Danio rerio: one gene and its partner. The protein of the gene in region 1 interacts with the protein of each later gene in a biochemical or structural test. Links are inferred from orthologs where the notes say so. Each region holds a gene or a part of one and is shown on either strand. Other genes may lie near its edges.

Region 1 (3,500 bases):
GTTTTATTGCAAAAACCTGGCAACCCTGATACCCACCTTCCTAGTATGTGCTATTACTAATGTGGCTATTGCGCCGGCTAGACCGACCACAAAGGTGAACATATAGTGCAGCAGACAGCTGAAAATAAATACCAATGACGGAAGTGACAGAGTGAATAAGAATCTAAAGATTTTTTTTTTGTATTTTTTGGTTTTCAGTCATTGATAGTGTTTTAAAATCAAATGTTTGAAGCATAATTTAGATTTAATTACATCAGAAAAAACATCTATTCTAGTGTTTATTTGAGTATGACCTTTAAATAAACTAATGGGTTTTTAAAATAGCTACATTTTTAAGGCAAATGAATGAATGGAGTTTTCAGAAAATGAATAAATGAATGAATGGACTTTTCATTAGAATTCTCTTTTTGTGTTTGGCAAAAGAAACTAATAGCATAAATAGCATATAGCATTTGAAGGACATCACAGGGAATAAGTATTGGATTTTTTTATGGGGGAAGGGGGGAGAACTGTGCCTTTAAGACCACATTTAGCAAAATAATTAAATAAATCTAAGTAGAACGTGTGAGCTGTGTAGTACCTGCAGTGAACCACTATGGGTCCGCTCTCTGGAATGGCGCTCTGGGTTCGGTTCACTTGCTCCAGGAAGCTCAACACTCCTCCAGGTTCATTTGGAACACCGTGATCAGGCCAACTCAGGTACTGATAGTGCCAGATACACCTGGGAGGCTCTCTCTGTAATTACAAAAAGTATTTATGTATGCATGTATGTATGTATGTATGTATGTATGTATGTATGTATGTATGTATGTATGTATGTATATATGTATGTATATATGTATGTATGTATTTATTTATTTATTTATTTATGCCATATCAGCAGTATGTCTATGTCAACATTGGAATTGAATATTAAGTTTATAATTTACAATCATAACTGTTTCTAAACAAACATGCATTATATAAAAACATATAGATATCACACTGATTAAAAGTCATGAGAGTTCTTTCATTTTGACCAATGATAAATAGGGTAAAATAGAAAAAGGAGACATCTTTTTAAAAGTTTCCCTTAAAAAAACGTTCTCTAATATAACTTGAAAATATACAGTACCTTCTATTAAAACATGTTTTATGGTCTAAATATTCGTACACAGGTCACAAATAGGTTTCTCTTCCCCTTTCAATGAATATGAATGAGTAAGTCCTGAGTGAATTACAAAAAAAAAAAAAAAAGAAACATCAAATGATAATTTACAAAATGAGAAAAACTACATCCAACCTAGATTAGTAATGTAAAGTAATACAGGTTTGAAGTAAGTGAGAAGATTCTCTCCAAGCTGCTACTGTAAACAACAAGGTCAAAGGTTATGAACTGCCTCTGGCTGCAGCATGTCATCTGTCATCGCATTGCTCTTACCCTGTCTAGACGTGTGACTTCAAGCTCTCGCCGTATGTAGTCCTGAGCTGTGTGTTCCTCAATGTTCTTCACACACACCTTCCCAAACTCCTTTGTTGAATTCAAGTCTGGCCAGTACCGCACACATTTATTCTATAGGGAGAAGTTCAATGTTTAGTTCCCAAAAAAAAATCTGTGTTGTCTATTTAGCTATACAACATTAGTGGATTCTCAATTTTCTCAAATTATGCATTAGAAATTTTTGGTATATAAGAAGAATCACATTTTTGTTCAAAATAATAATCATGTTTCATCCACGATTCTGAATTGACAAATTAAAGGAAAAGTTAAAAAGTTCCCAAATAGATCCCAAAATTTTAATTTTGCCATTATTTAGTCATCCTCCATTTTTCTGATGAACACAAGAGAATCTATAATAAAAAATGTTGGAAAACACAACAATTGACTTTCATAGTGTTTTTTGTTCCTACTATAGATGTCAATGGTTGCTTTTTTGCAAAATTCTTCATAATATCTTGCTTTGTGTTTAACAGAAAAAAAGAAATTCATTAAAGTTCATAATCAATTAAGTACGAGTAAATAAGGAGGAAACTTAATTTTTTTGGTGGACTTCAACAAAATGACATGTAATATACTAGAGATTTGGACACAATGTTAATTTAATTAATTCCCATCGGTTTGAAAGGTTGATTTAATCACTGGCTTATATAGACCTCACTTGTTTCATTACTGGATGAATCAGCCCTTTTGAATGACTCTCTTGAATAAATAAGTCAATGACAAATGCATTTTTAATAGTAACTTATCACCACCTTTTGGCGTAACACTGTAATTGATAAACATTATTTATAAAATAGTGTTACTTTAAAAAATATGAATGTCTATTTTGCTGTGCAATATTCAATAGTGGTTACATCAAAACTTTAATCCCAATACTTCTGCAATAATTTGACTAATAATCATACCATAAGGTTGAAGAGACCAAAGACTGACGCTGTTTCATAATTTTATGCCAACTGGGATTGCACTCGTCAGATGTTTAATAAATAAAACCAAATCATTGTGGCTGGAATATATAATTGTATGGGTAATTGAATCAAGATTGTCATCATTTAGCAGTTTTATGGTCAGTGTATTTAAAACTGATATGAATTCTGAATGAATTTCTCCCCCCAAAAATATAAATTACTTTTATTATCACAAATAATTAAGGAAATATAATTAAGAGCATAAAAAATATTTTTTTTTATAACAAATTGTTTATTTTCTTATATTCTATGTATCCCATGACAAACAATATAACATAATATGACAAAAAATAAAATAAAATAATATAATATAATATAATATAATATAATATAATATAATATAAAATAATATAATATAATATAATATAATATAATATAATATAATATAATATAATATAATATAATATAATATAATATAAATATAAATGTATTAATGAACGATCGAATGAATGAATGAATGAATGAATGAATGAATGAATGAATGTACAATATTTTCATCCTGGACCTTACCCGTCCTCTCTCCATCTCCTTGGTTGTCATGACAATAACATGTGTATTTTCCTGATAAACCATTTTCCAGAAGTCCAGGACTGTGTTCTGAAGGCAGCCCTGAGTAGCGATGAACACTTTACCTTCATCCATATGACGTCCTTCTTCATTCACGCTCTAAATGAAAAAAGAACAAAATCAATAAGGATAAAAAGAACATGCAATCTCTAAACTTATTGATCACAGCTCAACAACCCAGCAAAAGCTTGACATTCAGATTGACGTGTAATCATTACGAGCGAAGCGGGGTCTTACTCGGATATAGTTAGCGTTGATGTAATCGGATCCGGGAACATCAGGATCCGCTTCCTTGATCTGCACTCGAGTGGTGTCAACTGCAACCCAGAAAATGATGATCAAAGCATGAACAAGAGCCCTGGAGATTAACCGTTGCATTATGAAACATGCCTCTCCCATTAAGAAACCAGAAAAATACAGCACGTTACTCACATGGTAGTATATTCTTATATCTGTTCTTGTTTTTATTTTCTGGTCTCTGCCCC
Region 2 (4,257 bases), on another chromosome or scaffold:
TCAGTATACTGTATATTTTCTAACCTGGTCCTGTGAAATATTTGCTTCTTCCCAAAAAGAGTGTAATCATCTTTTACATGTTTCTTTTTGAAAAGCTCATGCATGTCACTGACCTTCATTGGAAGCAATGTTCTGTATTTTAGAGGCCTTGTTCATTGCGTGTAATATCTTTATGTAATACGATGTTATGAATTATTACATATTGAGCTGAAAGTGCACCATAGGTCTTCCACAAAATCTGAGAGCTGAAATGCATTCGCAGTTTGTCAGTGAAATTGAAATCAAGCAATCTGATTCTCTCAGAAATTGATGTAGCCTAAACTACTAAACTCGTCGGTAAAGTTTTAATGTTGATATACCTCAAGTGTTTTGTGGTCCAGTAACTTGATATATGAGTGAAAATAACCTTTTATATGATTCAAGAGAGACTTCACTGAATATTTTACCGCTTACTCTGGCACATTTTCGAAGTCAATAATGCTACATATGTATGTATTCCAAAATTGAGGAAAAAAAGAGGTATATGTTTGAATAGAGGAAGTTAATAATGGATCTTGCTTCTAGATTCATTTCTGTTCAGCGTTTTTTATGTTTTTTATTTAGCATTTTCTATTGTTCTTTGTGCCTCTTAAGGTCAAATCAAGGTTGTAAGTTTGCTAACGCTGCTAGGATAATAATATCTATGTAATGAATTGTAGGCACAACTAACAAACACTAAAACGTAGACAATGACTGCTTGTTAGTTTTGAGATACAATACTGAATGTACCCTTGTTCTGTTTGTGTAACATTAGATATTATTTAATCGAAACCTTGAAGTATGAGGTAAATAAACGTGACAAATAATGAAATTCTGTGTTCAGATGGTTATTACACGTTGTCAATACAAAATAAAATATATTGCCATGCTAGTAAATTTGTCCCTGTATGTAACTCGATTGCAATCCACTCCAAAGTTTGTCCGTTTATATGTTGGAGTGTAAAACGCTTAATAACACATTACACTACATTTAAATGTAGAAAACTGAAGAGGTTATTCTTTAAAAAAAAAATTAAAATTACGATAATTATTAAAGAATAATCAGAATAATGTATTTGTATTGAGGTGATGTGCTTAATTACTTTATAACATTATGCTATGTCGTTGGGATAGTAAGTTTGTGTACACTAAAATATGAATATAGTTGATGGCTTGACATCGGTACCTGAGGATTTTTGCTTTAGCTGTCTGAGATTTGCCTGAACTGTGCATACGTTTTTGAAAAGCTTAAAAATACATACCTATTGCTCGCCTGTGAATAACCCTTTTGTCGACTCTTTTCATGTCGTTTTCATCGCAGTTGAGGCACAACAATTATGATTAAAGAGCATTTGAGTTGATCATTTTTAGATAGGCACTATTCGAAGCAGCCCCGTTCTGAGAAGTTGTGGGGTCTTAAATAAAACACTCGTAATGAGGAGGCGCGATCATGGCGGACGTGTTGAGTGTTCTTCGCCAGTACAACATCCAGAAAAAGGAGATTGTCGCAAAAGGCGATGAAGTTATTTTCGGGGAATTCTCCTGGCCTAAAAATGTCAAGACCAACTATGTCATCTGGGGGTATGTGCGCGTTTGTTCTGTTGACTTATTCGTGTTGTTTTGAGCCGAGCTGGTTTAGCCGCTAATGCGCTAGTGATGGACTCGTGTGAAGAAACTCGTGTTGTGTACAAATGCTCACGTAAAGATAAATATGTTTCATGTGGAAGAAGGTGCCGATGGATATATGCACATGGTAATAATGCAACTAAGAATTTGGCTGCTCCTTAAAACATTGAGCTGTTTACATGTTCGTCTTTACTGAGGCTGCGCAAGAACTTCTCATTTGTTTGTGTTGCAACGTTGCTTTCTGGAGTGATCTATCCTTAAATCTAATAAAACGTTGACCTGAACATTTACTTGTAATCACGAAATGGTGGCATTTAAGTGACATTAAAGCACTATTTTAGCTGAATTAGCTTGTCGGATGATCCTCATAACCACACTTTGTTGTACCAAACATTTTTCCAAAATATTTACTATAAATAAATATAACAAATGTTAATTTTGTTTAAATAGAAGCTTATTACATCATATGTCATTAGGGAAAAAAACTGTAACGTTAGCCTATTGTAATTTATGAGGCAAATAACAAACTGGCCAGCACATTCAACTTTCCTCAGTTCTTGGTCATTTGAATAATAAAAAAAATTAACAATTTATTAGCCTCTCTTGTAAAAGTGCTTATAGAGGTAAAGTTGGTTTTATATTTACACATTCAGACTTTCCCCTTAATAATATAATTTCATAAAAGTATTGTTTGCCAATTCTAAATAGCGAAATCATATTAGCAGCCAATGACTATCAAAGTACAACACTGTTCACAGTCAAATAAACAGTGTTAATGTTGTTTTCAAGTCATACTTGTAGGTTATTTCAGATCGAATATTCAAAGTGCTGTGGTAAACAATATAGGGAGTGTCACAAGTTGTCATTGAACAAATGTGTGAATATAGCTTTACCTCTATAAAGTGCTTTACACTTTTATTGGTCATGTTTTTTTTTTTCTCCATGAACAAGGTCCAATATTTAGAATAAAAGTTACTTGTCAAAAGTTTTCTCTATTCAAAAACAATTCAGTAGCAGAAAGTTTGCTTTATGTCAGATGTTTTCGTGCACAGCTGGTTTTGGACTCATGAAAAATAATTGTTTGCATTTGTCAAAACTGATTTACTTAAATCACACCAGGATTTCGCTTGCTCTTAAAGCCCTTTTCAATGGGTTATTTTTACTATTTTTGATGACATAGTAGTCGAAATAATACAAATGAGCACCTCTATGGGACAAATTCTGGACATTCTAATGCAACGGTTCCCAACAGGGAGGTCCCCTATTGACCTTATTCTGCGCAGACGAGTGGGCGCTGCCATTTGAATTTTTTTGGCACGAGACTTCCGGTCTCATTCACTTCCATTCATTTTTAGACATTAAAAACTGCTCGTTTCGCTGTTTGATGTTGTAAACTGATATTTCCTTGTTATATTATTCTACTTGGTCTGTATAGTCATGCAAACATTTGTTTGTAGAGCAAGTAGTTTGACCTTTTTTGCTGTTTATTATTCCTTGTCATTTCTCCCATAGGCGACTGAAACGGAAGCTCTAAGACAATCGCGAAAACAGGCGCACTTCCGCATTTTAGAATAAGGTCAATAAGGGGGCCTTGGTAAGCTCTGGGGGCATCACGTCATATTTTAAAAAATAAAATAGCAGTGGATGATTAGTAGAGATCATGTTGCCTTTCATCCCCTTGCCGAACAAATTTTTTTTTTACAAAATTACAAATTTGTCCCTTGGAAAAAAGTCTCACTAATTTGCCTTCAGCAGCTAATACTGGACCCAGGTGAGGAAGCTCCAAACATTTTGGGTCGCAGAGCTAGCAATACTGGAAACATGAAATGCAGGAAATACCAAGATAAGTTACTTGAACTATGGTTTATTCCATTTACTCGAAGCAAAGAGGCCCTGCCCCAGCCATAGTGTATTATCTGAGCCAAAGTTCTTGCTAACAAATGTATGAGACCATTCATCCCCAATACTGTGACAAGCCCAAAGCATTTTTTGATCACAAGGAGCAAAGACTTATGTTTTTTTTTTGTTACAAATGGCCTACTGTTGTTTAGCTTTTATATTTTACATTAGTCTATTATTTGTGCATAAACATATGTAGATATTGTAGTAAACATACCATTTGTTTGAATACATTTTTTGTCACACTTACTGCAAATTAATATGAGCGATAATAATGTGGAGGGGGGGCTTAAATGATTTTCAGAGGGAAAAGGGGGTCTCAGGCAAAGAAGGTTGAGAACCACTGTTCTAATGTACTGTATCATGGTAACTTGCCACCATAAATTTGTTTTGTGTGTGTTTGTTTGTTGTAGTGATAATTTATGTACACAGTCGGGTCAACTGTTCTTCCTCCTTGCATGTTTTTGTGAAGTTGTTGTGTTATTTGTGATAAACAGTGTTTGGGTTAATCATTTCACGATAACCGTTTTCAAGGTATACGATGGTTTGGAAAAGTCAAGATTTTAACTTCATTTAAAGAATTAAGACTGACCTGTTTACTGCTCCAAATAAATGTGTCAAAGGGGACTTGGGTTTTTTTTTTACCCAGACATTTAAAAAAAAACATATTAGAGCAGTAATGACAATACCGTGAAACTTAGAATCTTAAATCGA

What was found. The genes of interacting proteins can lie anywhere in the genome.
Region 2: of the proteins of ptpn11b (region 1) and cdc73, one has a biochemical effect on the other in vitro, tested with the Homo sapiens proteins (2 studies listed by BioGRID and IntAct). The link is inferred for Danio rerio from reciprocal best matches to the Homo sapiens genes PTPN11 and CDC73.

The regions. Positions count from the first base shown.
Region 1 is NC_133198.1:26,921,107-26,924,606, reverse strand, and holds part of ptpn11b (tyrosine-protein phosphatase non-receptor type 11b), read right to left. Parts: coding exon 3,448-3,500; intron 3,333-3,447; coding exon 3,253-3,332; intron 3,115-3,252; coding exon 2,959-3,114; intron 1,553-2,958; coding exon 1,421-1,552; intron 736-1,420; coding exon 581-735; intron 1-580. UniProt on the Homo sapiens protein: Acts downstream of various receptor and cytoplasmic protein tyrosine kinases to participate in the signal transduction from the cell surface to the nucleus. Positively regulates MAPK signal transduction pathway. Dephosphorylates GAB1, ARHGAP35 and EGFR.
Region 2 is NC_133177.1:12,374,017-12,378,273, forward strand, and holds the start of cdc73 (parafibromin), read left to right. Parts: upstream 1-1,457; 5' UTR 1,458-1,468; coding exon 1,469-1,599; intron 1,600-4,257.